Caenorhabditis elegans: one gene and its partners. The protein of the gene in region 1 interacts with the protein of each later gene in a pairwise test. Each region holds a gene or a part of one and is shown on either strand. Other genes may lie near its edges.

The links.
Region 2: the proteins of bath-9 (region 1) and asns-2 interact in a two-hybrid assay, tested with the Caenorhabditis elegans proteins (one large-scale study listed by BioGRID).
Region 3: the proteins of bath-9 (region 1) and nhr-46 interact in a two-hybrid assay, tested with the Caenorhabditis elegans proteins (one large-scale study listed by BioGRID).
Region 4: the proteins of bath-9 (region 1) and B0272.4 interact in a two-hybrid assay, tested with the Caenorhabditis elegans proteins (one large-scale study listed by BioGRID).

The regions. Positions count from the first base shown.
Region 1 is NC_003280.10:3,373,724-3,380,908, reverse strand, and holds bath-9 (BTB domain-containing protein), read right to left. Parts: upstream 3,821-7,185; 5' UTR 3,793-3,820; coding exon 3,689-3,792; intron 3,644-3,688; coding exon 3,265-3,643; intron 2,780-3,264; coding exon 2,632-2,779; intron 2,589-2,631; coding exon 2,437-2,588; intron 2,383-2,436; coding exon 2,260-2,382; 3' UTR 2,075-2,259; downstream 1-2,074. Other genes in the region: Y49F6C.2 (BTB domain-containing protein), read right to left, coding at 1,397-1,519, 1,567-1,849, 1,908-1,948; bath-10 (BTB and MATH domain containing), read right to left, coding at 4,261-4,410, 4,463-4,614, 5,005-5,161, 5,207-5,597, 5,653-5,756.
Region 2 is NC_003284.9:8,746,888-8,754,836, forward strand, and holds asns-2 (Asparagine synthetase [glutamine-hydrolyzing]), read right to left. Parts: upstream 4,055-7,949; 5' UTR 3,976-4,054; coding exon 3,893-3,975; intron 3,846-3,892; coding exon 3,707-3,845; intron 3,398-3,706; coding exon 3,308-3,397; intron 3,260-3,307; coding exon 3,090-3,259; intron 3,042-3,089; coding exon 2,636-3,041; intron 2,586-2,635; coding exon 1,883-2,585; intron 1,836-1,882; coding exon 1,723-1,835; 3' UTR 1,547-1,722; downstream 1-1,546. Other genes in the region: M02D8.5 (CUB_2 domain-containing protein), read right to left, coding at 7,802-7,890.
Region 3 is NC_003282.8:5,753,482-5,761,402, reverse strand, and holds the start of nhr-46 (Nuclear Hormone Receptor family), read left to right. Parts: upstream 1-3,540; 5' UTR 3,541-3,587; coding exon 3,588-4,013; intron 4,014-4,056; exon of another isoform or gene 4,057-4,077; intron 4,078-4,525; exon of another isoform or gene 4,526-4,546; intron 4,547-4,687; exon of another isoform or gene 4,688-4,711; intron 4,712-5,358; exon of another isoform or gene 5,359-5,382; intron 5,383-5,513; exon of another isoform or gene 5,514-5,534; intron 5,535-5,717; exon of another isoform or gene 5,718-5,738; intron 5,739-7,554; exon of another isoform or gene 7,555-7,575; intron 7,576-7,921.
Region 4 is NC_003284.9:9,425,880-9,433,000, reverse strand, and holds B0272.4 (enoyl-CoA hydratase/isomerase family protein), read right to left. Parts: upstream 4,571-7,121; 5' UTR 4,564-4,570; coding exon 4,395-4,563; intron 4,349-4,394; coding exon 4,288-4,348; intron 4,239-4,287; coding exon 4,094-4,238; intron 3,775-4,093; coding exon 3,613-3,774; intron 3,049-3,612; coding exon 2,977-3,048; intron 2,930-2,976; coding exon 2,771-2,929; 3' UTR 2,577-2,770; downstream 1-2,576. Other genes in the region: putative 3-hydroxyacyl-CoA dehydrogenase B0272.3, read right to left, coding at 377-685, 752-968, 1,112-1,269, 1,323-1,568; fln-2 (Calponin-homology (CH) domain-containing protein), read right to left, coding at 6,318-6,602, 6,760-6,925, 6,973-7,121.

The DNA of each region.
Region 1 (7,185 bases):
TAAGTTGAGTGAGCAGCGAGAAACTGAAAAGCATTTAAAATTGAAATTCAAAAGCAAAAAATGCAAATACCTTCTTGAGAACGTAGAACTTTTCATCTCCAATTGCTATAATCGCATCAGAATACTCCTGAGCCGACTTCTCGAAGCTTCTAAGCTTCATCCTAGGGATCCCAGTCATCGCTTTGATCATGACGGCTGCTTCCACAATGATACTATCATCAATTAGGTATTCCTTCAACAATGTCTCCCAACTAACAACCTTAGACCATCTCCATGCGGGTATCATGATGTTTTCAAGTGTAAAGTCAACTTTGACCCTACGACTCATTTGTTTCCCATTTGAAGTTTTAAGAGTTAATTCGAATTCCGTATCAATTGCACAAATTTCATCATTTTCCGTCAATTTCGTACAACGGAGGTACACATCTAAATGATCATCTTCTCGATAAAGTTGCAAGTCCCTGAATGTTCATTTTATATTCATTTTAGTAAAATAAAACCTATTTACCATGGAACATTGAAGTGATCTTCTTCAGGGCTTAATAGAAAATTACCGTTTTCCAATTTTGATACATCTGTGAAAATGTGTGAAATCTCAAATTCCTTTTTAGCGGAATTCATTGTCCTGCTGAAATTATAGAGTTAGAAATATTTCAAACAAATTGGATAAAAAAGCAGTAAAGGAGTTTCTTAAAAAATCAATAAAAGGCAAACGAGTAGTCTTGGAGGAGAGAGAATGAGCTGAGAAATGGCTGAGCTGGTAGTCAGCTGGTAGTCGAATGTTATCGATCCGTAGTTGCAGATGACGCAGCGTCAATAAGTCTTCCCAAGAGTGAAGGAAGAACCTCTGGCCACAAAATTATGCGTTTCAGAAATACATAGAATTTCCCGATTTCCAAAAAAAAAGGGAGAAATGCAGTAGAAACTTAAGTAGGCACGTAGCCAAGTAGTCATGCGGTGTTCATGTAGGTATGCAGTAGGCATGTAGTAGGCATGCCAGCATGCAGTAGGCACGTAGGCATACATTAGGTATGTAGGCATACAATAGGCAAGTCAAACACATGGCAAAAAATTGAAATTCGATAACCTGAATTTTCCCTGATATTCGAATTTTTGAAATATATTTTTTCAAATTTACAGTCATTTTTCCGCAGAGAAAACTTGACAGCCCGAAGGAAATTTGCAGGAACTTCAAATTTAGCCTTAAAATTTTCAAACGATGTTTCACATCAAGTACTAAAGAAAAGTCAAGAAAAACCAAAAATGCCAAAACTCAGTGATTAACCTGTGATTTTTTTTTTGGAAATTTGGAGAAAGATTGTAACAATTATATGGAATATATGTACTTGAAAGTGGTAAAAAACAATTATTTTATTCAGAAATTAAATTTGAATGGTTATTTTAGAGCCACCGATTTTTCGAGAAGAGCCGCCAGCACTGTTGGCTCCATGTCAGATAGATTACCTGCCATTGCCGCCTTGATTTCATCAATCGTATTGATTTTTGCAAGACATAGTTTCTGAAAAATATTCAATTTAGATTTACACGATCCGTTGTGATCCTTACCTTCAAGTTCTCAAGTTGATATTGCTTTGCAATATTGAGTATATCTCGCTTGGGCCTTTCATATTTCTCAACCAGAAATTCCTCACATTTCCGAATCGCAAAAGGCATGTCTCTTACAGTCAGGACGATTTTGGAGATGAGCCAACATTTTTCAAAAATTCTTTCAAAACTAAATAGAGGACCAAAATGTACAATGCTTAGTCGAAATTTGAAGCGAAAATGTTGAATTTGGAGGATCTTATAAGCAAAAATCAATAATTTTAGAAAATTGCATGTAATTTTTCTGAAACTACAGATATCAATGTGTTTTAGAATGATTAATTATGTAAAAACCGTCTTACAATAATGGTTTTTTAATTTTTGTTTTGAAATCATTTGGCATCTTCGGAATATGGTAGCCAGCAGATATGTGTGACACATTTTTTCGACATATTTAAAACATCCCCTATTTCTCCTTGTTGAGTCGAAGTTTTGTTTTGAAAATTTATGTAGAAATATAGAGAAATATTTGTACTTTTTGGAAATTATTATACTTTTGCTCAAAAGTTTCAAAAAGTCGCTCAAAAATTGGTTCAAAGTCATCTCAGAAGAAGAAGTAGCATGGCAAGCCTTGAAAATGAAACAAACTTTTTTATGATACAATAAGTAAAGCATACAAATTTACATAACTTATGTGCTTCGTAAAATTACTAGTTAATGAAGAGCCACTGATTTTTCGAGAAGAGCCGCCACTACAGTTGGATCCATGTCAGATAGATCCCCTGCCATTGCTGATTTGATCTCAGTGATTGTATTGATTTTTGATAGGCACGATTTCTGAAAAAATTGTTTTATTGGAATTTAAAAGAATTTTAAAATCTTGATTCTAACCTTCAAATTATCCAGTTGATATTGCTTTGCAATTCTGAACTTATCTCTCCCGAGTTTCTCAGATTTATCGGATAGAAACTCCACACATTTCTCAATCACCACGGCCATCTTGTACATGTGAGCCAAGTGTAGAATTCCCTCAACGTTCTCGTCTAAAATTAACTTTTTTTCTAGAATAAAAACCTTTTTCTTTACCCTCAATAGCAGGTTCTCCGTACAGAACCTCTAGAAGACACTGAAAATCGGCAGCATTGATGTCGGTGAGCGCGATTTCAGCTTTTTCTGGTTCATCGAATTTTCCGAGAAATAGAGTTTTGAAGTATGATGAGTGAGTGGCGAGGAACTGAAACACACATTAAATGAATTTTTTGGCTAATTTTGAACAGTTCGGCACTAAAAGTGTGTCATGACGCATAACTTGTTGTGCCGGATTTCAGAGATTTCGGCGTTTTAGAACAGTGGTTAATTCGGCCAGATGTAGCCGAAAAGCCAAGTTAGGGCTGATCTCTAATATAACACTTTTTGGAAATTTCGAAGTTTCAATTTTAATCGGCAAAAGTCCTACGCATCCAATGAATATTCCTACATCTATTTTGAAAAGTAAGCAAGTTCTATGAAAATAACTAGAAAATAAGGGGGAAAATTTCATAAAAGCACAGTTTTAAGCGTTTCCGTCTTATAAAAAATCTCTCTAAAAACTCCCGGCAAATTCAGTTTTGGAAAACGGAAAATCGACAATTTGCCGGAAATGAAAATTCCCGGCAAACTGTCTAACCGGCAATTTGCCGATTTGCCGGAAGGCAATTGCCGCCCATCCCTGAAACATACCTTTTTGAGAACAAAGAACTTCTTGTCGTAAACCGCTAGAACCACATCAGAAAAGACGTCATCTGACTGCTCAAAGCTACTGAGCAGCTTCCTAGGAATCCCAGTCATCTTTCTGATCTTGACCTCTGCTTCAACAATGATACTATCATCAATGAGATAATCCTTGATCAATGTCTCCCAACTGAACTCCCATCCCCATTCATTCGAATTTGGCACAAATTTAGTCCTAGCCTTGTTCCTAAGACGTTTACCAATTGAATTCTTGACTGTTAGTCTATATTCGGTATCCACGGACCATGCGCCTTCTCCGATGTCTTTCAATCTCTGGCAACACAGATAAACTCCGATGTTTTCATTTTTCCGAGCAATTTTGATATTCCTGAACAAAAAATTGTATATTTATATTAACTTAGAAAAGACTTACCATCGAACATTGAAGTGTTCTTCTGCGGGACTATGAAAATATTTGCCTTTTTCCAATTCTGATACATTCTTGAATATATGAGTGAGTCCTATTTCCTTTACCATTCTGGGCGAAGTCTTGCTACTGAAATTGAAATATTAATTATAAAAAAAGTAGCAGTTCTCGCAATTTATTATTTTTCACAACTGATTATTACAACCCGCTATCCATTTTTCAAAACCTAATACACCAATAATAAAGTTACTTTTTTCAAAAAATCAATAGAAGCAAAAGAGTGAACAGCCATCCAGCTGACCACCGTGAAGACAAAATGAGAGAAAGGGGTGGTGAGAGACGGGGGAGACTGGGTGGTCTTGACCCCTGTCAACGACAAATATGTAGGCAGTGAATGGTCCCGAAAGGTGCCGTCTTACATCATTAGGGTCTTGATTGGAAATACAGTTTTCTACTACAGTCCGTCCAATTTCTATAGCTCACTTTTATCTGTAGAGTTTTTTACAATTTCACCAATATTTTGGAATTTATTGAATAAGTGAAAAATACAGTATAACCACAAAAAAAACAATTTCAAATTAATACGGTCGTCCATTTTTCGAAGGCGGTTCAATAGTCACCGATTTTTCGAGAAGAGCCGCCACTACAGTTGCATCCATGTCAGATAGATCCCCTGCCATTGCTGACTTGATGTCTTGGATTGTTTGGATTTTTGAGAGACATGATTTCTGAAAAAAAAAATGTATTAAAATAGTTTTTAAAAAATATATGAATTCTAACCTTCAAACTCTCCAGTTGGTATTGCTTTGCAATTTTGAACTTATCCCTCATGGGTTTTTCAGATTTGTTGGAAAGAAACTCTTCACAGTTCCGAATTACTTTTGTCATTTTGTACATGTGAGCCGAATGAAGAATCCCTTCAACGTTCTCGTCTGAAATATTAACAATAGTGTTATCTACTATATGGTTACTGTAGTTTCAGAAAAAAAATCAGTTTATAGATTTTGAGAATGAAGTGGGCTAGGATTACTGTAGGAGCATTGTAGTTATAGTTGACACAATTTTGAAAATGTTTGGAAATATTTTGGAAGTGTTTTGAATCTTACTGAGATGGAATTGTCCCCGTCCAGCCTAAGCCTTGGTCTCAGACTAAGCCTGAGCCTAAGCTAGTTGTCAATGCAAAATTAAATTCAAATACTAATATTTATTTAAACAAATAAACTTGATAGCTTCGTAATTTCCCCCCCCCCCCCCCCCCAATGTTTAAAATATTTTTCAGATTAAATTGTATTAAATTGTTTAAATTGCTATAGTTTTCTTACCATCCATAGCAGGCTCTCCGTACAGAACCTCCAGGAGACACTGAAAATCGGAGGGGTTGATATCTGGCAGGGTGATCTCCGATTTTCCTTCACAGTCCATTTCTTCAAAGTCCAGGGGAATAAGAGATTGAAAGTGTGTAGAGTTTGAAGCGAGGAGCTGAAAAGTACTCAAATAGTTGGAATATTCAGAGACTAGAGCTACCTGTTTGAGAACATAGAACTTTCTATCCCCAACGGCAATAATCATATCGGAATACTCCTCACTTGATTCATCAAAGCTTCTGAGCTCTTTTCTCGGAAATCCAGTCATCTTAGTGATCTTGATTTTTGCTTCGATAATGATACTGTCATCAATCAGGTAGTCCTTCAACAATGTCTCCCAACCAATAAACTTATTAAGTCCGAAATCACTTTCAGTACTCTTATTTGATAACAGACATTTAGCGATTTTCGTTACTCGTGTGCCAATTGAATTCTTGAGTGTAAACTTTAATTCCACATAAATTGACAGTGTTGTTTCTTCAGTTCCTTGTAAACTATTGCAACCCAGAAATACTGCCAATTCATCATCTTTCCGATTTATATAAAGTAACCTGAATACGACATTTGAAATTTATTAAATGTATCTTATAATTGGTGAAAACTAACCATTCAACATTGAAGTGTTCTTCTAGGGGTCCACATCTACATTCGCCATCTTTAAATTCGGATACTTTCTTAAAAATATGGGTGAGTTGGAATTCCTTTGCCATTCTTTTACAATGTAAGAATCAATAAAGAGAGTAGACAAATGGCCACCGTGAAGACAAAATGAGAGAAGGGGCAATGAGAGACGGGGGGAGACTGGGTGGTCTTGACCCCTAACGACAAATATATGAGTGGTCCCTAAAAGTCTTTCACAGGCAGTCCAATTTTTATAGCACCTCCTGAAAATCCCTGAACACTTAAAGATGGTGTAGTCGAATTTTTTTATTACCTCATTAGACTCAAAATTGTCTGAAAACACCGAATTTCATAATGAAACTTCTTGAAATCTTTTCAGAAAAAAGTTATGACGGCTCAAAAAATGACATAAAATTAGTTAAAATCGGAAATTTGACCAACTTGTCAGTGTCGGAGCGGCTGGAAACAATTTTTTTTGAAATCACCGTAAAATTTTAAGTATACAAGTTGATTATCTCGCGTTTTAAACTTCATTTAGGTATTTAAAAGTCGATGGACGGCGAGTTTTGGTTTAAAAAATTAAAAATCTCGCCGTCCATCGACTTTTAAATACCTTAATCAAGTTTAAAACGCACGGTAATCAACTTGTATACTTAAAATTTGACGGTGATTTCAAAAAAAATTGTTTCCAGCCGCTGCGACATTGATAAGTTGGTCAAATTTCCGATTTTAACTAATTTTAGGCTATTTTTTGAGCCGTTATAACTTTTTTTAAAGAAGTTTTCAAGAATTTTCATTATAAAATTCGGTGTTTTCAGACAATTTTGAGTCTAATAAGGCAGTAAAAAAATTCGACTACACCACCTTTAATTCCAAATTTTTAAAACAACCTTACCCGACTTTCAGCTAAAGTATTTTTCAGAACTATCAAAAAAGGTTTCAAATAAATATTAATTTTTAAAAGTCCATTTCGAGCATTTTGCAACAAAAAGTTTTAGACAATTTTATACAATTCTAGATGCAGATTTCTCTTTTGAAGTGGTGTCTCGACTCACTTCCGTCTTCCTACACAATGTCTCGACCCTCCACTGCCTCTCGATCTCTCAGTCGTTCCCTTTTTCTCTTCACTTCATTCTTCCTACTAGACGCCCTACTGAATGGGTGTCCCCCTCTTCTTTTTTATTGATTTTCGATTTATTTTCTAAATTTTCACTAATTCTTGCAATTTTTCCAGTATGATGAAGTGAGTTTGAGAGTTTTTGAGAATTTATGGAAATTTTAAAATTACAGATACTGAAGCCACTTCGAGCCCAGCCGAAAAAAGTTTCTCAGTCATTTGGATGAAATAGTGAAAAGAGCCGACTGAAAACATTTTTTTCAACCCGGAACCTATCATGCTTTGAGGACAAAGCAGCTTTTCAAAGGCGTCAAATGTCACAAGCTGATTTTTAAAATAATTTTTCGCCCGAATGAAGACTGGCCACAACATACAATTTGGAGCAACTTCAAAAGAATAGG
Region 2 (7,949 bases), on another chromosome or scaffold:
TTCACGTAGATACAGAAATAGTACATTTTCAGCCCTACCTTTTAGTGCGTATTTTATTATTCAATGAAAACTACCATTTATAGGCAAAAATAGATGGATTTTCCAAACTTTGAAAATTCATAAATCTCTTCAAAGTAATTTTTTTTGAAATGTCTTTCAGAAACTTTGTAGTAAATTTTAAGCTCTTTTAGAATTTACCAACAATATTCCAGTAGGTACAAGAAGCTTCACGTAGTTACAGAAATAGTACATTTTCAGCCCTACCTTTTAGTGCGTATTTTATTATTTAATGAAAACTACCATTTATAGTCAAAAATAGATGGATTTTCCAAATTTTGAAAATTCATAAATCTCTTCAAAGTAACTTTTTTTGAAATGTCTTTCAGAAACATTGTAGTAAATTTTAAGCTCTTTTAGCATTTACCAACAATATTCCAGTAGGTACAAGAAGCTTCACGTAGTTACAGAAATAGTACATTTTCAGCCCTACCTTTTAGTGCGTATTTTATTATTCAATAAAAACTACCATTATAGGCAAAATAGATGGATTTTCCAAACTTTGAAAATTCATAAATCTCTTCAAAGTAACTTTTTTTGAAATGTCTTTCAGAAATTTTGTAGTAAATTTTAAGCTCTTTTAGAATTTACCAACAATATTCCAGTAGGTACAAGAAGCTTCACGTAGTTACAGAAATAGTACATTTTCAGCCCTACCTTTTAGTGCGTATTTTATTATTCAATGAAAACTACCATTTATGGGCAAAAATAGATGGATTTTCCAAACTTTGAAAATTCATAAATCTCTTCAAAGTAACTTTTTTTGAAATGTCTTTCAGAAACTTTGTAGTAAATTTTAAGCTCTTTTAGCATTTACCAACAATATTCCAGTAGGTACAAGAAGCTTCACGTAGTTACAGAAATAGTACATTTTCAGCCCTACCTTTTAGTGCGTATTTTATTATTCAATAAAAACTACCATTTATAGGCAAAATAGATGGATTTTCCAAACTTTGAAAATTCATAAATCTCTTCAAAGTAACTTTTTTTGAAATGTCTTTCAGAAATTTTGTAGTAAATTTTAAGCTCTTTTAGAATATACCAACAATATTCCAGTAGGTACAAGAAGCTTCACGTAGTTACAAAAATAGTACATTTTCAGCCCTACCTTTTAGTGCGTATTTTATTATTCAATGAAAACTACCATTTATACGCAAAAAGTAGAGGGATTTTCCAAACTTTGAAAATTCATAAATCTCTTCAAAGTAATTTTTTTTTGAAATGTCTTTCAGAAACTTTGTAGTAAATTTTAAGTTCTTTTAGAATTTACCAACAATATTCCAGTAGGTACAAGAAGCTTCACGTAGTTACAGAAATAGTACATTTTCAGCCCTACCTTTTAGTGCGTATTTTATTATTCAATGAAAACTGCCATTTATAGGCAAAAATAGATGGATTTTCCAAACTTTGAAAATTCATAAATCTCTTCAAAGTAACTTTTTTTGAAATGTCTTTTAGAAACTTTGTAGTAAAACTTTGTAGCAGATTTCCAATGCACATTTATTTATTCAGGTTAAAAGCCCAGAAAAAGCGTAACTAAAAGGTATTTTTGAAAAATACATCGAAATGATTAATCATGGTCTCCTCCCATAAAGCGATAGAAAGTTTAAAAATGGGGATATGAAATAAGGAATGTGCTGTGTCATGACATGAAGAGCTCAGTTATTATGCTTGTGGTCGGCATTGTTCAATGTGATGTTGACTGATTGCAGATTTGTTGTTGCAGAATTCGTCTCCAATGTTGTGAGCAGAGTTCTCATGGACCAATGATGCTCTTCCTAAAAGGTAATGTTTATATAGAAAGACTATATATTGTTCAACAAACCTGATGGATCTTGGTTCTTTTGCCATTTTGGAATCCATTTTCTGACAGTGAGAGCCGCTTGCTCAGATGGGAACTGCTCGTGGAAGATCTTTCTCATGTAGAATGCTTCCTTACTGTGTGGAGTATTGTGTGGGAAAAGCTTAGAGGCTTGAGAGAATTCCTTGTCGGTAATTTTAGCAGCACAGTACTTCATGAGAGTGTCAATCCAGCTGTATCCAACTCCGTCGGAGAACTGTTCTTTTTGTCTCCACAAAATCTCATCAGGCAGATATGGGTATTGGTCCGTGTTGAAAGCTGATCGGAGAACAAACTTCTCGCAGTTTCTCCCATCTTCAAGTTTTTGTGGGCGCTTAAATGCAGGGTCCAAACTGACTGCAGCCTCAACAAATGCTTTATCCAGGAATGGAACACGAACTTCGACTGAGTGAGCCATCGAAGACTTGTCAGCACGAAGACAATCAGATGTGTAGAGATGAAGAACACGATCGATGGTTTCCTTTTGAAAGTCCTCATCGGATGGGGCATTGTGGAAGTAGAGATATCCACCGAAGATTTCATCAGCTCCTTCTCCAGAAAGAACAACTTTGATTCCCAATTTCCTGATTTCTTCGGAGAGGAAGTACATTGGAGTAGAAGCACGAATGGATGTGACATCATAAGACTCAAGATGCCAAATAAGCTTACGCAGGTTCTTGATACCTTCCTTAAAACATATTTGTGAATTTTGTTATTTCGAATTGAAGAAACACATACCTCAATGCTGAAATAGAACTCATGATGAGTAGTTCCAATAAACTTTGCAACTTTTCTAGCAGCCACAACATCTGGGGAGTTGTGATCGACACCAATGGAGAACGAGTGAACGGCCATTCCTCTCCTTTTCATTTCTCTTGAAGCAATTGAAGAGACCAGACTGGAATCAAGTCCTCCCGAGAGCAAAACTCCAATTGGTGCATCGGACATTAATCTCTTGTGGACTGAAGCTATCATGGTTTTTTGGAGAAGTTTGAGGTCCAATGGATGGATCGCTTTTCTGAAGTCGAACCATTCTGGGTTGAAATAGCGAACGAATCCCGTTTTAGGAGTGTAGTAGTGCCCGGGTGGGAACGATTCTATTTTGTTATCTCCGCAACTATCTTCCAAGCACTTCATCTCGTTACTGTAATATTAAATGTTAAGAAATAATCCTTTCATTGTTAATTTTTACCTGAAGAAGTATCTTCCATCGTCATCAATTCCGTAGTACATTTGTTTTACGCCAAGTGGGTCACGAGCAGCAAGGAAATCTCCATCGCAACAAAGAACAAATGCAAAAACTCCATCAAGAAGGTTGCAGATGTGTCCGTCACGGTATTTCTCGTACAAGAAAATAATAACCTGAAACAAATTGTATCTTGTGTGAAGTTATTTCTAACTGTTAAGTACCTCTGAATCGCAATGGGTTTTCAAATTGTATTTCTTCAGCTCGGTGTCACGGAGTTCTTGATGGTTGTAGATTTCACCGTTGTGTATAACCTGAAATAACCAATGTGCAACAAAAATCTTTGTGCCTAGGTGCTAAGGTGTGTCTGGGGGTCATTAATATCAGCACAAAGAACACGGCGTGTGTTGTGTTACACTTTTCGCTTATCTTAGGAGGAGGAGAAGTGATACACTAATGATAACAAGCGATAAGAACTAATTGTACTTTGACTACTAATGGGAAATCACGTGAAATACGGTTTACTAATTTAACATTAGAGAAGTGTACTAATAGCGGAACATAATGCACATCGATATACTCATATAGCTTGAAAAAGAAAAACAATTATGGAATATTTGTACCTGACGGTTTGGGGCTGTTCCTTGAAGTGGTTGAACAACACCTAGATCCATAATGGCTAGACGCTCGTGGACTAGTATATCTCCAGTCTTCGTGTCTTGGTAGCATCCACTGAAGTCCGGTCCACGATGGTGTTGTCTTCTAAAATTTGAAACAGTTTGTCTATACATGTACCTTACAACTCTTACCTGGACAACTTGCGAGCCTCATCTAGGTCGTACTTTGGCTTGTTTTTGCATGTTTGTTGGCAAATTGAGAATACGCCGCACATGGTGAGAGTTATTCGTTGAGGAATCCAAGAGGGAAACGGGTAGGCAGCACTGAACACAAAATAAAGTGTGAGTGATGATAGTTTTGGAGCAACGGACCGTCCTTTTTAAAGGCCTCTTGGCCGTCGAAAAATGGGCGGGCCGTGAGGCGGGCCGACGGCGGCAACCTGATGCAAGAACATAATCAAACGCAATCGGCCGGGCCTTGTCTGCTGCCTCTTTCTCTCGCGTAGTCTCTAGCGTTTTCCTGCCACCCGCCGGGGTCTTGCTTGTTTCCCTGTGAGAGGCGAACCATTATGTCGGCCTGGAACAAAAACATACTGAAAAATGATAAATTGGCTTAAAAACAGACATCTCCCATTACTAAATACTTAAAATCAGATAAAAACATGGCGTCGGTGTGTCTGTTACCTTGTTTTCGAAGAAAAAAGTTCTTGAAATCCAAAGTTTGGCGGAACTAGAAGAGAACTGAAATCTCAAAAAAACTTGTGAAGGGGGAGGCATTTGGGTACATCTTGTCTTGAAAAAAATAACTGAGGTTTTCAATACTTACAATGAATGATGGATTGCGGGAAGTCGAATTCTCGTTCTATAGTACAGAGATGTTGAAATGTAATGACATCGCTCCTAGACATGAATAGCTTCTATTAATTTTTGGCTGTGAGTTATTTGTTTTTTTTTCTGATTTAGAAAACCCAAAGTGAGATATTCTCGGACAGTTTAAAAGTAACGTTTTAAATATACTTTTGATGGTTAATCATACACGTTTGTTGCTCCATTACTGGTTCTGAAACCTGATCTTTTTAATCAGATCTAAAAAGTTCTTCATGGCTCATGCTCATTAAATTGTATGCTTGAAATGCAAGTGTTGTCATTTGTTCTTAAATATTTAAATGATTTCTTCTTACAATTAAGAAGTCTTTAAAAAAGTGTCCGGCAATTTAAGCAAACTCCGATAAATCTGTACTACGCATTTCCAATAAAGTAAACACACAACGTATAATTTTTACCAGTGATGAAAATTATCAAACTTCTTATGGGTACACGGAATGAGCACTATATACAAAATGAGACATTTCAGATTGTAGAAATTTAGTCAAAGATCAGTTTAATATCTTTCGTGAACCGTTCTTTGTAGCCGACGTAGCGATGTTCTCGTGCTGTTTTTTTTTTCACTTCTTGTTCCTACCAGACCTACTCATGGTGCCATATGAGCCATTAACTCGTCTTTATCTTTTTGCACAATCTCATCTCTGACATCAACGGCTTTCATGAGTAGACAAGGAAGAGGTCCAATCAAATAACTTGTCGCTTCCGAAACCAAAACATGAAAACCAAGTGTAAACAGGGATAAAAGTTGGTTGGGTGGAAGAGTCAACTATTTTTTGAAATATTTTTGGGTTGACCTTAAGTTTATCTCGTGTTGTTTTCCGGTTACAATATTTCCATGGTTAAAAAGTGTTTTCGCAGTATGTTGTCAGAATTATTGGTATAAGTTCAAGTTCAAATCAATTTATCAGTCTATACGTACCCTTTGGCTGAAAAATAATTCTGATTTTTTAGTTGCAAAATATCAAGGAGCAGTTTGTTAAGTAGGTATCGAGTGTGGCATGTTCACACTAGAACAGTGAAAATTTGTTTTTTTCTTCAATTTTCTTATTGGGCGTTTTTGATTGCGCGCAACTCTTTCCTGTTGTTTACTGTTGCTTCCAATGCTATCCGCAGTGCACCATGGTTCACCTTATGATGGTTTGATCTTCACTTCTTCCTACTTCCAAACCCCTATTTACTCTTATTATTCTGGACTTTCTATCTTGATAACAGGACATTATGTTCGAGTGACGTGAGAAACGAGATACGATGAGAGAAGAGAAGAAACAAGGGTATTCCCCAGTACGGGGGATTCCCCATTCACTATCCGATCACTACACGTGACCTTATCTAGAAGAAGTATAGAATGTGGAGACGCAGAGAACCACCAACAATCTTTGAGGATCAACCTGATTATTAATATAGTGTCACGTTGTGGCCTTGTCTCATTTACATACGCGTAGTTGGAAGATCAAACAATTAGAAACAGGAACACTCGTCGTTGACAACGAATTGTTGACAGAAGACGGCATCAAGAAAATTCCAGAAAACACCGTTAATGTTAGTTTTCGAATGAAAAGATTATTCAGCGAGTGTTCGGCAAAAACATACTCTAATGGAACATCTCCGCACAATTCAACTTCATATAATGCTTGAGTAGTTTTGTTTCAGATTAATTTTTTGTGCTTACTCCAAATTTTGTCCCAAATCTGTCCTTAACTCATTCACACCCACTGTTTTAATTGTTCAAAAAATTAACTTACTTTGAAATACTCTCACCCCAAACTAATCCTAGAGAATTTGCATTTTTGTATTACCAAAGAAAAGTGGTATCAGTAAAAAATCTAAAGGATAGTAGAAAAAATTTTGATATGTAGAAAAACGTTTTACGCTCATCCACAGAGAATATTTTGAATTCTTTAAAAGTGATGTTTAAGTTTGGTTTCAGCGAGTCAAAAGGTTAAAAAACTCCCGGATACATGCAAAGTAGGGAAAATCTAAAAATCTAAAAATGCAAAATTAATTATAACCTAAAAATTAACAATTGCTGCCATATGTGGGTTTCTGAGTTTTGCAATGTCTATTTTTCTAAACTTCTCTATGACTTTTTCTATTCTTTTTAATGCTGAAAAAGTAACAACATTGGAAGTTTGAGACCACCTTTACTGCTAGATGCAAGCATTTTTCATTTATTTTTTTATCACTTTAAATGGTCACTGTAACTTTCTGTAGTTTTTCATTCACACCTTGCAATCAAAAATTGTGATTTTAGATTTTTGATTACCTTAATTTCTGTTAGTAAATCAACAACTTTGATAAATAGAGTCTACTCGTGTATCACGTTTCACTGCACTCACCAATTATGTTTCGCCTAAACATTTCTCCTAAACATCAACAATTTTCAGTTACCTGATCCGTCAGGACCACCACTGTCACCTCTACTTAACCTCAAAAACAAAGTCACTCGTGTCAAAACCTCTACGACACGTGTTGCCATCTCTTGAAAATCTGGAAGGAGCGGAATTGTTAGGTGTTTGTTTGGCGGGTGACACAAAAACACCAAGAATCATTAAGGCACGACAATTCCTGCAATTTTTTGGAAATTAAAATCTAAAAGGGGTTTCCCAAACCGAAAATAAGAAATTCTTGTTTTTCTATGTTCTTATATTCTCAAGTAGTATTATAGTTTGATGATTGATTTGGAAAGTATATAAATTGTGTGCTTTGTATTGTTTTTTGTCAAAACTAAATGAATAATTTGATGTTGAACAACACAATTTTCGAAAATGTGAATAAATAGATAATTCTTAAAATTATTAGGTGGGTATAGATATTTAAAACAAAAACGCATAGCAGTTGGACGCCATCTAAAATTACTTTAATAAAGCTGCAATTTTTATCATAGTTCATCTTGCTCTTTCTATATATCACATGATCTAAATATAGTGTTGGCAAAATTGTTCTTCTCGTCGGTTCTTTTTTCCCAGAGTTTATTGTGGTTTCTCTATATCTCTCAATTATTTTCACAGTTTTTCTTGTTCTGTTTCTCTAGAACCCAATGAGTTGATAACACATTTTCCTTCACAATTTCTCTGTTTTCTAAAGATTGTTGACAACTGTGTCTTTTCCATTTTTATTACTCTGGAAAAAAAGATAATATGATATGGAGAGAGGATATTTTTGATTTAGAATGTGATCTCATTGGAAGGGAAGGATTTTGTCCTCTTTTTGTTTCTTTTAGAAAATGAGAGAAATGAATGAGACGGTGAGAAGAACGATAACCGAAATAGACAAACGCATTGGACTTCGAGAACATCGAAGATCAGCTGAAACATTATAGAAAGTAAAAGAAAAGTAAATAAAATCATGTCAAAGATCATCGTAT
Region 3 (7,921 bases), on another chromosome or scaffold:
TATTCTTCCATTGTTCCGATCTAAAGATTCAACGATTATTTCATTTTCGAGATACCTCGGAAGACTAAAGTGTTTTCTGGGAATATTCGTTAGGGTGTCTCCACCAATTTCCTAAAGCCTTGAGTTTTTGAATAATATCAGAGAATGAGACAATTTGTCACTGTTTCATTACTTCTTGAAAAAACTAAAGCAGTCGAAATTTATAATGAACGAGCCATGAAAGTGTGAGGTGTCCATAGAAACTTACTTTTCAAAGTTATGCAAAAAATTGTTAAATTTACTGTTTCGACATGTCCAGAAATTCAAAATTAGAAAGAATTCCTATTGAAATCTTGATCGCATGTTTTGAACAAGAAGCTTACATTACCAAAACAGCTATTTTGCTTGGTACTTTTGCCAAAGTTTCAGCTTCTATGGTAGGTAGCACTTGCCTACCTTATGCCTGCCAGTCTCCCATTAACTTCTGAGTTTTAAAGCAATCAAAATGGTTTTTGCATTTATGGTTGGTTTTTTTCAGTCAATCTGCGAAAATTAAAATTATTATCTGAGAATATGGACGTGGATAATTTGTCGGTAGGCATCAGATAGGCACAACGCAGGCATAGCCAAAAACATATTTGTAACGTTACTAAATGCCACTCAATTTTAATAAAATGGGCTCTGAAAGAGGGAAAAATGTACGGCCTGTTTTAAAAAAAAAACAAAGGTTCGCATTTTGGAAATTTTGGTCCAAAGCTGAATTTCTGTTAGGGACATGTTTCTAAATATTTTTCGCATGGTATAAAGTCCAAAATTGAACAGAAACAATTTTCTGGTTATCTCCATTTTTTTTAAATAACCAATTTATTACAGTTTCACACTGGATATTTTTATTTTTAAAAAAAACTGTGACTCTCCAGTGCCCTTTTATTTTCCGCAAACTGTTCTCTGTTCTATCATTTTCATGAAAACATGGCTTTCCAGTATTAACCATCCACCTCAAGATCGTAGACATCGATCCAATGTCGGCGGCAATCTGTTCCAGATCTGACGGCGTCTCTCGTCATTTTTTTATTTTTCAAGGTCTTCGCCTAATTTATCTCGACTCACTGTTCCGCGTTCCAGTGTATCGGTACCAGTACTTTTTTTTTAAATTTTCCTCAGACCAAATAGATCAGTTTTCTGAATAGTTTTTTTTTCTATATTAACATGTTTCACGTAGTCTGTATTGTTTCAGACTGTAGTAAGCTATAATTCGTAAAATTTTTATATTGAAAAATAAATAAGTTTGATGAATGATAGATACCAGCATTTGATAAGCTTCTAGGACAGGGACAAAATTTTAAAACTTGAAATTTGGCCTAACATCCTTTGAATTTGCAAACCGGTATAAGAGAATTTTAGATTTTTTTTTGAGATAGTTTTGAGAATTTCCTAGGTTTCAACTTTTGGGATATTTTGAATCTATTGTTGCAAAACAATGCTGATCCATTATTGCTTTTTTAGTATGTTTTATATAGTCGGTATTATTTGAGATTGTAGAAAAAATCTATAATTTCTTCTTTGTCATTAGGATTAGGCAAAAATACATTGGTCTACATCACAATGAGAGCGAAACAATACAAAATTGAATAACCTAATCAATAGTTTGAAACAGTTGTTTTTTGTTTTCCAATGGAAGGTTTTGGATAACCCTCGAATTAAAAAAACTCTCATTAGAATCAAATTTAAAATGAATACACTTAAAGCAGTCAGAAACCTGTAGGCTCCAATCAAAACCATTAAAACTCCCTAAAAATTGTTAAGATGCTATTTTAAGTTTCCAACCAATGCAAAGATTGAATATGTATGACAACATTGTTCTTGAAAATATGGAAAAAATTTGGTTTCTGGGCACTTTTAAAATTATTGAAACGTTGAGGAAAAACATTGCAAACTTTTTTTGATGTCCTAATGTGATTTGAGCTCCTTCAATGTAAATTTATAAGATTTCACTATAATTGCCGCTGAAACTATATTTTATATGTTTCAAGTGGTGTATAATATTAGAAAATGCTACCATAAACAATACGATCACTGGTTTATTTGTAAACTGATTGAAAAAAGTATAAATTTTGTAACAGACAAAAAGCATGGAAAATTATGAAAAAAAACGTTAAAACCCTTTATAACACAAAAAAATAGGCACCGAATCGTAGAGATTCCGGAATAGCTGAAATTGTCCGTTGTGACTCAGTTTTGCAGCCCTTATTCTGAGTGTGATGCGATACTTGCCAGTTTTAAATAATGAAATAATTCCATATAAAAATTCGCAAAAGTGATATCAAATTTTATTTTAATATTTTCAAAGTAAAAGTTATTCATAAAAGTGTTAGTTTTTCAATTAACAAAAAAAACTGAGCTCTCCATCTTCCGATCTCCTATTCCCAAAAACCATTTCTATCCATCTTCCCCTCCCATTGTTTTCCATTAATTTTGATTCTTTTAACAGATTAATAAACTTCCAGTCATTCAGCTTCCCTTCATCTCATTCTCCGATTCCTTAGATCATTATCATGATCAGCACCGGCCGTCTTGTGTCCAACCGTACCACTCGTCCCTCTCTCTCTCATTTCACAGTTTCCCTCGGGTTTTTCAAATATTGTGTTCAGATGGACATTCTTCTTCTGACTTTAAAATTTTTACTGCTTACGCGTCCGAAGAAAAAAGGAAATTAAAAAGCATCAAAGTAACAGCGTCAAAAACTTGGTTCAATATTTACCTTGAAACTGGAAAATTGATTGTTCCGATTTCTTGGCGGTGCTCTCTTCAACTTTTGTTGATTTCTTTGATCGCTCATTGCTCATGAATCAATCAGGTTAGGTACACAAAATGAATGAGCACTGAAACATTATTATTTCCATCTCGTCATTCGATTTTTCACAGTTTTATATTTTCGGTTCACAGTTCATCAAAACGGATATAGCTTTAGAGAAACATATTTTTTCACTAAAAATTAAAAAATTAAAATCGATGTTTATATTTTTTTATTTCAGAAACAGCTTTTTTTAATTACTGTTTCACAACCACATAAATAATTTTGAAATTTTTCACATCCCAATCTTCATGTTTTTCGGTTTCTAAAATTGTACAACATATAAAATTGTACAACATGCCTGTTAGAAATTTTGATCAAAACTCCCCAAAAAAACATTTTGTGAGACATTTATTAAACTGCGATTTTAACAAAGCAACTTGAATACTAGCAGAAAAATAGGATTATCTCTGAAAAAATTTCCAGCTGTTTTCAATCATATCAATCTTATCGGTTATCGATTCATTTTACGCCCTTCATCCATTTTCGCTTGATTTTTTTTTTGAAAAAAAGTTACTGTTTCAGAAGTCCAATAATTAATTTGATATTTCTCTTTATCCTATTCTTCACTTTTTCTAAAGGTTATGCATCTTTAAATGTATACTCTTGTTTGAGTTTGTGTGCTCTCTTATCATCATGATTATCATCTCTTCTCCTCCTCGTTTTAACCACTTTTTTTGCATATGACTATACCTCATTTTTTCCAGGTATCTATCTCAAATTTCCCATTTTCAAAACGACGTCTTCACTTGTTATGGAACTATTTCGATCGCCGCCACAAACGGCAATGTTTCCTACAACAGCTTCTAGTTCTTTTGTCTCAGCGGCTCTTCATCAACAACAATCATCTCCATCATCAAATCTTCCAGTAATCCCTTCACCAACTGATATGATTACTGTAACATCAACATCACCAATTCCAATCACAACTTCTGCATCACCACCGAATCTTCCAATGTTCTTAAGCTTTCCGAGCACATCAACGACGACAAGTATCCTTATGGATACTGTATTAGCTGCTCAAAAACTGAATCAACAGCAGAATCAGCAAGCATTCAATTTTATGGTTGTGAAGCAGGAAAATGGAGAAACTGGAAGAAATTTTATGACAATGAAGCAAGATGCTCTGCAAGCAATCACTAATACAGTTTCAAGGAATTCACCGCCAAATGTTATTAAGGTGTGTTTATTTTTTAATTAAAAACTTGGTATTTGAAATAAGAAAGCCCAGTCATTTTCTTGAAGTAATGAGTTTTAAACCTACATTTTTTACTGATTCGTAAAGCAGTAAATTTTTGTTCATATCAGCAAGATTTAATAAGTGTTTTTTAATTCTTGTAAGAATGCCTATTGAAATTTTGAATGAGAAATCCTAGCAAATTCATGAAAAAACATCAACAGCTTACCAAAATGCTCGGTTTAAAGCGAACGATAAAACAAAATGTTTTGTTAGTTTTTTTAATTTTTTATTTTGTTTTCATTTATTTCTACTGTTTCATGAAATAGTGAATTGGAAATACTCAATTTTTGTACGCCTGTACATACGCCTACAAAATGTGTTTTTTTCTGTAATTTGAAATTTCGCCATGAAATTTCGTATTTTCCTGACATGTAACCAAACGAGTAAGAAAAATCTTGAAATTTCCGAGTCTGCAAAATTCGGCAATTCCACATGTTCAAGGTTTTCTGAATATCTCGCTGCATGAAAGAAAAATCAGCAATTAACATTTTTCAACTTTTATACTGTTTGTAAAACATTAGATTTTTATTGTTGTGAAAAACTGTTTGGAATTTGATATGTTTTTTTACTGTTTCATAGCCACAATGAAATAGTCAATTTTAGTATTTATTTGCTGACTAACCACGATTCCTCAAAAAATATCAAATTTTCCGAATTTTTACAACCACTGTTTCAATGTTCAATTGTGTTACTTCGCTCTCTCCGATACAATTCCATAACATTTTATCATCATAAACGGCCGTGCAACACAGTAAAAATGGAATGATTTAACGCTCTCTCTCTTCCAAAAGGTTGAAAAGAATGAAAGAGCAGTGACGTACTGAATTTCAAATTCCACTATTTTCTGTCTGCATAAATGATCGATTTTTGTTTGGGGCGAATTCAGATACGGATTCCTGAAGGATCTCCCGTTTTAGGTGCAATGTAATCTAAAAGATCTTCGTGTTTACATGAAGCCTTGTCCCTAATTTCTGGAAAAAATGCCAAAATTTTCAAGATATTTGTACTTGATCATTGTCTTGTGCTCTCTCATTGTGCGCTTCTCCTCGCCAGCTGAATCAACAAATAATATTAATTTCTACATTACAAATTCGACATTAATTTTGACAATTTGAATGACTGTTTTATCTATCACCGCTCAATTTTGTGATCATCTCTTTATGATCAGTATCAATAAAACAAAGTGCCAACCGGAAATATGTGACAGTTCAGTTTCGCGGGTTAGTTCACGTGGTTTTCACGGTTTCGTTGAGTTGTATTTGCACATTGGTACATGAAAGAACATTCCGGAATGCGAAAAAAAGATTGAATGAATGAGTAAGGGGGTCTAGAATAAGTCGATGCCAGGAAACAGTAAAATTTTCAAATTGGTAGTTTAAGAACAAAAGTATAAGCGAATCTTATTTTAAAATCTGTTTTCCTTTTTTACAACAATATTTACTAAAATATTTATAGCTGTTAATAACTCGAAATTAACAATTTCCATAATAAACCATATCTGAAACAGTAGATTTTGTGTACCTCAATAACATTTATTTTTGGAATAGCCAACAGCCTTGCAAATAATTGTTTTTCTTCAATACCCTAACAAAAATAAAAATAATTGAAAAATGTTGAAATAGAAACATGCTTTAGCCTGCTTTAAAATTTATTTCACGATGTGTACCAAATTTTTATAATTTTACAGAATATCACAGTAACTTGTAATAGCAGAAAATTTGTGAAATGTGACTATTACTAAGTTTCCCACTATAGCCGTTCTGTTTGAAATCTGGCAATTTGTTCTTACTTTGACTGAAATTTCTGAAAATTCCAGATTGTTCTGGACTTTTAAAATATGATGCGTGTTCATGTGAAGGTATTATAAATGTATTTATACAAAATGCCTGTTGACGTGACTCCAAATTTAACTAAAAATATCTACTGCACCAAAAAAAATCCAAAAATTTTTCACAAAACTAATCTTATATTAGAAAAACTAAATATAAAACAACCAATATATATATTACAACAGGTCACTGTCTTTTTTAAACATTAAATTAATTTTAAAACGTAGTCTAAATTAGTTCTCTGAAAGTTCAATAGTTCATAAAGTTTCCCTCTATCTTCAATTTCCTTTCTGAAATAGCTTCCTTTTCCCTCAGGGGGTTTAGATGTGGAAATAATCCTTTTCTAAATGTAATGTAGTCCTGACATTAATTATGCCCATTTCCTCTATTCATCCATGAAAAATCTCGTCCCTCGTTCTCCTCTTGTTATGTTTCGAGTGTTGCTAATTTCTCGCCGATTCGGTCGCAATTTTTGAGCGCGGAGGAATTGACCCAATTTACACTAGCTTCATGTTGTTGGGCGAAAAACCGGAAAATGGTTCAGCTGTTGGAAATGCAGAAAATTTGAGGAAATACATTAGATCAAAACACACAGGTTGATAAGGTATTGTTGATCTATTGATGGAAAGAAGAAATCATAAAATTAGAACAGAGATATCGCAATCTCTATGATCTCGCAGAAACGTTTGTGATAATTTTTATAATATTTATATAGTTTTAGACCTTTTTATTTGAATTGTTCCAGTTTTTAATTTAAAAAAACCGTGCATTTGTACAGTTTAAGTTACATTATTCGAAACACTTGGAATTCGAAAAAAAAATCCCGTTTCAAATAGGTGTTTTATTTTCGTTTAAAATTTTGTCTGCGATTTTGTCTTTTTACAAAGTTTATTTCCAAAAAAACAACAATCTTACGTCACGTGCAAAATGAATAGAAATTTGATTAGGTGTGTATAGAAATAATGCAATTCTTAGTTTCCCTAGAGGACAGCTGAAAGTGTGCGATCTCAGTGAACTCGTGTAGTGATAAAAAAATGACACGTGTTTCCTGAATCAAAAACATTCGGGATCAAAAGGATCCATTTATATACTGATAAAACACACACCCAGAGAAACAGCATCACAGTTCATTGTCTGAATCTCTCAGTTTACCACACTATTTCACTCTCCTCTAACTCTTGTGCAAAATGAAATACGCAACAAAATGTAAACTTTAGGGGCGATTCTCTCACACTCTCCGCACTCTCTTAAGAGTGCCCACATTTTCTCGCATTTCTCTGTCGGTCTCTTCATAACATGTACTCTCTTCCAGGTTTCTAGATTTGTCTGCGTCCCAGTATCTCGCTCGCATGCCTGCACTTCTTCGATACCCGCCTTACTCTCCTCTTTCGCTCTCTCGATCATTTTTCGGTCTTCGTATCAAAGGATCGCAAGCACTTTTCAACTTTCCATCTTATGATTCTACTTGGAATTCTTAAACCATGTGTTTTGACCATCCTCTTCTCGTTTCTAGCGTTTTCCGTGAAAACCTTCGAGTTTCCTTGAAAATTTTGCCAATTTTCGGTACATTCTAGTTTAGATAAGGAGCCCCTAGATGGGAGGAAGAATTGCATGGAATCAAAATGATACGAGTGATATTTTGTACGATTTTCGAAATGCTATTCGAACCTGAAACACTTTGTAAATCCAAAATTTTATATCAGAATTTAGTGAAACAGAAAAAAATCGTTCATTTCTAAAGTTCAAATTGCTTCCAATCCTCTTTGTGTCTTCAACCACTGCATGTGGTTGAACAAAAAATGTGTTTTGTTGATCAACGCCGCACACACAGAGTCTCAGAGTGCACGCAACCCATGCTATTTTTTGCAAATATATTTTTTGGGAAGAAAATGTCGCATTGAAACCTTTTGAAACCTATCCCTCTCTCCGCCACGTGTTTTGCTCGCAGAGCTCCTTCTGTGTCTCGAATGTGTGCATTGTGGTATGTGTAGTCTCAGTTTGCTCAGACCGCTCTCAGTC
Region 4 (7,121 bases), on another chromosome or scaffold:
AAGTTTAAAATTGAGGTGGCCAATGCACTGAAATTATTTTCTTTATCCAAACACGTTTATCGTCATCTCAATTTGGTTAGTTTAAAAAAATTAACTCAAAAATGTTGTGGGATAATTTTGCCAATTTGTTGATGGTTTTTTCCATGTTTCATTTTTATGAAAAACGTGTTATGAACTGTCAATTATAACAAGTTAACATGTCCTCCTGATTACACGGAACATTTTTGCACGTTTCGAATGTTAAAAATGCTGTTTCATGTCACACGTTTATTTCGTGGTTACTCAAAAACCCATAGAAAATCAAAAATAGCACTAAACATGAATAGTTTAAACTTTTTTTTTACAAAAAGAGTATCTTCGGCTAGCAATCATCATTCTACTTGTACTTGTAGAATCCTTCTCCAGACTTGCGTCCATTCTTTCCAGAGTCAACGAGCGAGTTGAGAAGCGGGCTTGGAGTGAAGGCGACTTCTTCCGGATACTGTGCGTGCCAGCCATCCATGATGAACTTGCAAGTGTCAAGTCCAACGTAGTCACTGAGCTCAAATGGTCCCATTGGGTATCCAGCACCGAGTTTCATGGCAACATCAATATCTTCCATGGAAGCATCGCCGCGTTCGTAAAGTCGAAGAGCCTCAAACATGTAAGGCACCAAGAGACGGTTGACAATGAATCCGGGCGTGTCCTGAAAAATCGGTTTTAGAAACTGCTTGCATTGAATTTAAATACGATTCCCGGAGCAACAGCTTACCTTGCAAGCAACAGTGGTCTTTCCGACAGTCTTTCCGTAGTCAACGAGTTGGTTGAAGGTTGCATCGGAGGTCTCAGTGTGTCGAACAACTTCCAAAAGCTTCATCATTGGGACAGGGTTGAAGAAGTGAAGTCCTCCAAAACGGGACTTGTCCTTCAAGTTGAGCCCAATGTCGGCGAGGCGAAGTGAAGAAGTATTTGTGGTAATGAGAGTAGTTCTAAAATTTCAATTGAGACATTAATTGGGACTGGATTTATTTGTGTACGTTCTAATTTAGAATTTCTAGATACAACATTGTTTTTCTAGCATACATGGTTTTGAAAACTTTGGCAATACATTTTTATTTAGTGGAGTACTTACGGTTTGGCAGCAACCTCCACCTCTGCAAAAAGTTTTCTCTTGATATCAATGTTTTCCACGATGGCTTCAATGACCAAATCAGCGTCCTTGACAGAATCGGAGACGTTGGTAGACATCTTGATACGGTCCAAAACTGAGCTGACAAGAGCTGTTTGAGCCTGTAAAATTATCTCAGCTCATTAATTTATTTGAAAAAATGAAGAAACCTTACCGCTGCGTCGTCGGCGTGCTTCTTCTTGGCAACTCTCTTCAAACTGTTGGCAATTCCTTGCTGAGCCTTTTCGAGAGCAGATTGATTGCTATCCACAACTGTCACGTTAAGCTTGGCGTTAGCAGACACTTGAGCAATTCCTGATCCCATGAGTCCGGCACCAATAATGGTCACATTATTAATTTTTGAAAGTTGGGCGGTGGTGGAGAGTCCACGAACGGCAGCGGTGCAAGTTGAACTGAGCATTCTGCAAAAAAAGTAAGTTAAGATGTTTTACGTTGCTAATTTAAAATTTCAACAATTAAGAAAGAAAACAACTCAAGAAAGAGTAGTAGAAAAAACCGATAGATATTGTTGTGGAATCGTCCGTCGGCCGCGTGTACACTCGGACACACCAAAACTACGCGCCGACCATCTGCGCATTGCTGATCTGCACACTCTCTCGCACCGTGTCTCATTGGACTTTGCTCGCTACATTCTATCCCAGAGAGAGGAGGAAAGAACGAAGGAATTGGGAAATAATAGGAGAAAAAGACAAAGAGTGGAAAATAAAAGAGTTTATTATCATTTGGGATTCGATTGAATGTTTGGGTTTGATAACAGTAGGGAAAAATAAGACGAAGCCAAAGTTTGAAAAAGGAAAACTGCAAGTATTGTATTAAAAACAGTGCCAATAAACACTCATTCAAAAATTATATTTTTTTGTTCGGTTATTTTTCTACAATCCGATAACTCCAAATTCTAATTTCAAGGTCGATACCAGCATAATTTGTTTTTTTTTGTTGTTAAACGCTGTTAGAATATGTGTTATCCAAGTGCTAAACTGTTGTTAACAATACAAATCAACTGGATTTCTGTTTGCTTTTCGTCAACGGCTATATTTTTTAAACGATTACATATTTAGTTCTTTTGATTAAACGAGATACTGTGCAAAGAAACTTTGAGAAAAATATATATATGTTCGAAAAACTTCATTTAGTTGTTTTCTAGAATAAATTCCGTACATATACAGTGCGCACAACTTCTATAGCACCCCTCTAATTTGGGAGTTTGAGGTTTTTCTGAATAATTTTCGAAAAAGTGTTCATGGAGTTTGCCAGCAAACGTTGAAAATCCTATGATGCCCAATGCTGATATCTCAACAATCATGGAAATGAGGCCACAAAGTTGAATAAACGACCGCCCAACTTCTATAGCACCCCTCAATTTTGTTCGACAATTTTTGTTAAAATATTTTCTTCTTCTTCTTTATTTATGAATTTATGAATTTATTTTGAAAATAAACTCAATCCAAAATGTTCAGAAGGTGTCATTTTAACATTAAAATAATAAAAGCGTGGAAAAAAAAACAAAAATAAGGGTTTCCATTTATTTTAATGTATTTAGGCAACCTTGTATTTACTTCAAATAAAATACATTTAGTAAGACGAGAAATGATGAATTATTGTTCATATTTTAGATGGTTTAACAAATTTCGCAGTGAGACGAGCAATAGTGTCCTCGTGGGAAAACATCCCATTCAAATGCACTTGCTCTTTTCGGTTGACAGTGAGCAGTTCGTCTTTGATTTGGGTGGTTCTCATCAGTTCTTTTGCTACTTTCATGGTCTTCAAAATAAAAAAAGGGATATGGTGAAAAGTTTTAACAAACTTACAATTGGAGAAAGCTTTGAGTAGCGGTCGATGATTTTCTTTGCATCTTTTTCAAATGTCGCAGCTGGTAAAATCTGAAATCACAGGACAATCTTTTAAGAAATGATTGCTTTAATATTCCTGTTATTAAAGTCACGACCCACTTTTCAGATATAGGATTTTATGTTATTGAAACAAAGCAATTTATATAAAAGTGGGTTGGGGACACGTCCCCGACCCGAAATTGGGTCGCGGGTCGACCCATCTCGACCCATTCATCACGCCTAAGCGAAAGAAGTTGGGCGACAGAAGCGGAACAAGTTTTGTTCATTTTTGATTTTTCCAAACGCAAACTTAATATATATTTGTAATAATTCAGCTCAGACTACTTTTTTACAGAACAAAATTCAATAATAGAACGCAAAGAATTTGCGCGTCACTTTTAACTTAAAATCATTTTCGAGCGAGTTTTAGCAGTCTTAACAACTTTTCCCAATTTTATAACCCAGTAAGTACTCAAATATGCGCTACACTTTTCATTATTTTTACTACATCCACTTCCACTTTAAAAGTTCCCATTATTTTTTCAAATTTGCATGTGAGTGTTGTCAATTAAAAATTTGTGGTCCTTTGGAAACTAGAAGTTTTCAAACACTTACTTGTGTAACCAATCCCGCAATATGAGCCTCGTGAGCGGTAAACTTTTCGCTGAACATCATCAGTGCGGCAGCTTTTTGATGACCCATAATTCTTGGGAGGGTGTAGCTGGAACACGCTTCTGGGCACACACCAATGTCTGCAAACGGAGTGGCAAACGTTGCCTGCAATGAAAATTGTGAAATGCGCAGTCTTGGAAAATTGGGGATATTTACACGTTATTGAGCATTCTTATATGAGAAAATCTATAGCAAGTACATATCTAACAAAATGTATTTTTTACTTTGTTTTTGATAAATATCAACCACCTGCATATATAACATAACACAACGTTCATTCCAATATATTAAGAAAATATTCTAGTTTGTAAGGTATATAATAATAATATTATTAAAAAACTGATTGTTTTTTCTTTAAAGTACTTTTTGCACATCAAGTTAGATGAATATTGTTTTTTCATAGTTACCAGCTAAGAAAACTCACAGTGTCAATGGCAATGACCGCATCCATCACACCCAGCATAGTCACAGATACTCCAACGGCATGTCCGTTTACCAAAGCAATTATTGGTTTTGGGAAAGCAATCAAGATGTCCACAAAAAGTTTGTATCCATGTTCTTGGATATCTCTGTAATTCTTGTTGAATGAAATAAAATGTCATGATTTAATAATCTCACGTCAATGTTGAAAGCTCAGCTGGAGAAAAATCGCTTCCAGCGCAGTAATACTTCCCTTTTCCTAAACACAAGTTTACGGTTAAACATGTTGATTGTTGACAACGTACCTCCTGTAAAAACAACAAATGCAATATCATCATCATCGGCAGCATCATTAAAAACTGTGCACAAATCAAGGAACATCTGTCTAGTGAGAGCATTAAATTTCTTTGGCCTGTTCAGGGTGACCCATAGAACATTATTTTTACGCTCAGTTAAAATAAGTCCACTTGTCATTGCTTCACTGAAACTCAATTTGAAACGTTAAATTTTGATAAGAATTCGATAAGAAGTTTAGTAAGTTTTTGATTCCAATATTAATCATTCAAAAATAAAAAGAGTGAATAATAGAATCAAAGTAAATGAAGAATTTGGCGGTCATTTATAAAACAGACTATAATGTGGCGTTGATTGTGGCTGGTTGCGACTGATAACAGTTGTATCGCCTTGTTTTTAGTTGAACTGTATCTGTAGTATGTAGTTTTATGTGTACCACATTAAATGCAATTCACCATAAAAATATTTTAATAATCATAGATATGGTAAACAGTGTTATAAATTTGATTAACGGCAAGGATAAAATAAAGTGAATGATTGAAATTTGTTTTAATGTTGTTTTCCAGTTTTCATTCAACAGTGTTTCTCAAATTTCTATGAACTGCGTCAGGCTATCTAGTTTTAGCGAACATAAGTTTAAATTTTGGGAAATATTAATAAATGCCTAGGATTTTTTATACAAAATGAGATAAATATGTATTTGAATATTGTTGTAAGTCAGTTTGAATTTGTCAAGTTGTGAAAAAAGTTTCTTTAAAAAGTTCAAACTATTCAAGGTTCTTGCGAAACAAAATTGATACTCGCGGCTATAAGATGTGATTATTCAATAAGAGTTTACCAACACAGGTTGTTAAAAACACAATATTAAACTCTTATTTTGAAATATTTCTACGTGATGCGTTGTAAACCTCTCGCTGTTCACAAGTTCCTTTGCTTTCAAGATGTAGGTGTTTTACTTTCTATCGATGTAGTTGAAAAAGAAGTAAACGTCGATATATTCGTTAATCCCATTAAAACCCATAAAAACCCCCATTAAAACCGCATTAAAAAAGTAATAATTGGTTCATTTCAGTTTGAAATTTAGAAAAAAAATTGAAGCACAGTTACAAATTTTCTTTAGTCGCAGCAACATATGAATAGTCTGAATGCAATTATCATTCTTCATTTCAGATTTTTGTGATTTTTTATACAATTTTACGATGATTTGATCAACCTCGGTTTTTGTGCAACAAACTTAATTTTAAAATGCAGTTCCACAATAGACAAAAACCATAATTTTTATTCCAACTTTGGATAAACTAAGGAACTAAGTTTTGCAATAATAATTTTTGATACTGCAGGCTTGTTTTATTTTCTAAACTTATTTTGAATGATTTGTAAAAACTTTATCATGTTTTAAAAATAAGAACATCTGAAATTGGAATTGAATAAAAATACAACTAACTTATAGGAAGACTTCTGATTATGAAACGAAAAATTCTACACAAGAAAGATAGCAGAGGGAGCAGAGCACAGGATCTTGTTCATTTTATTAATGAGCATTTAAAAGTGAAGGAAGTGGGAACATGGAGCAAAGGTAAGAAACATTTGGCAGGAGTATTTCTGTTTTAAAATGTAAGTAAACGTCTGGGAAAAATGAGCATTATGATTAGAAATGATGAAAATAAAAGAACGTTTGTTGTGTCATCATCAGAGAAAGTATCACATTGTATTTGGGGATTGTATAATCATAGATTATTTGGAAAAGACAAGGAGAAGCAGAATCTATGCAATAATAATTTTTCTGAAATTTGAAACCATTAACTAGAATAGCATGTTTTGCTGTATTAATTTAAAAATCTTAATTCTCAATTTTCAAAATTTGAGTTCGAATAAAAATGTTGATTAAAAAAGGATTTGTAGTTTGGAATTGAGGTATCACTAATCAATACAATTTAATGATTGCGTCCTTTATGTTTGGTCGGAGGTGGAACGGATCCATATGGGCTTGGAACACCCATTGGTCCGAAATGGCCTGGTGGTGGCAGGAAACGTTGCTGTCCTGGTTGCATTGGGTACATTTGTGGTGGAGCTACCCATCCTGGCGGAATGAATGGCGTTGCTGGTGTTGGAGACGGAGCCTCGCCGCGAAGGTATCTTGAGAGTTCTTTCTCGGTGTCGACGATCATGACAAGGAATGGACTACCTGGAACATGCTCTCCGTGCCATTTCACTTCGACCTGAAAATTATTATTGTTTTCAATTCTGTGGTTAACGGCCTTTATAAAAATGTGTTGTGACTCTACGAAATCATTGTTTAAGTGTTCACAAAAATAAATTAGTTTCAAAAACTGTATTTCACCCCTTCAAGTATTGTACTATGATATCTAATCTCACCTGATAATCCCCTGGTTCCTTTGGCTCATACTTGCAGTGAATCGTTCTTTCATTCTTCTTCTCTCTTTGCATTTCCACATTGAAGGCTCCCTTTGGTCCTCTGACACGAACAGTCAGTTGTCCAGCGCCAGCACCTCGGGTTTCCACGACGAAATTGGATTTGAAACTGTAAATAATACCATTCCTTCAAATAATTTATCTAAAATAACTTACAGAGAAAGAATTCCATGTTCAACTCCTGGCCCGTAGACGCGAACTTTTGACGGATCTGGTGGAAGAGACACGTGAACAACGAATGGACTTCCTTTTACGTGCTCATCGTCGTATTTGATAACCAATGTATGCTTTCCAATCTCAGCTGG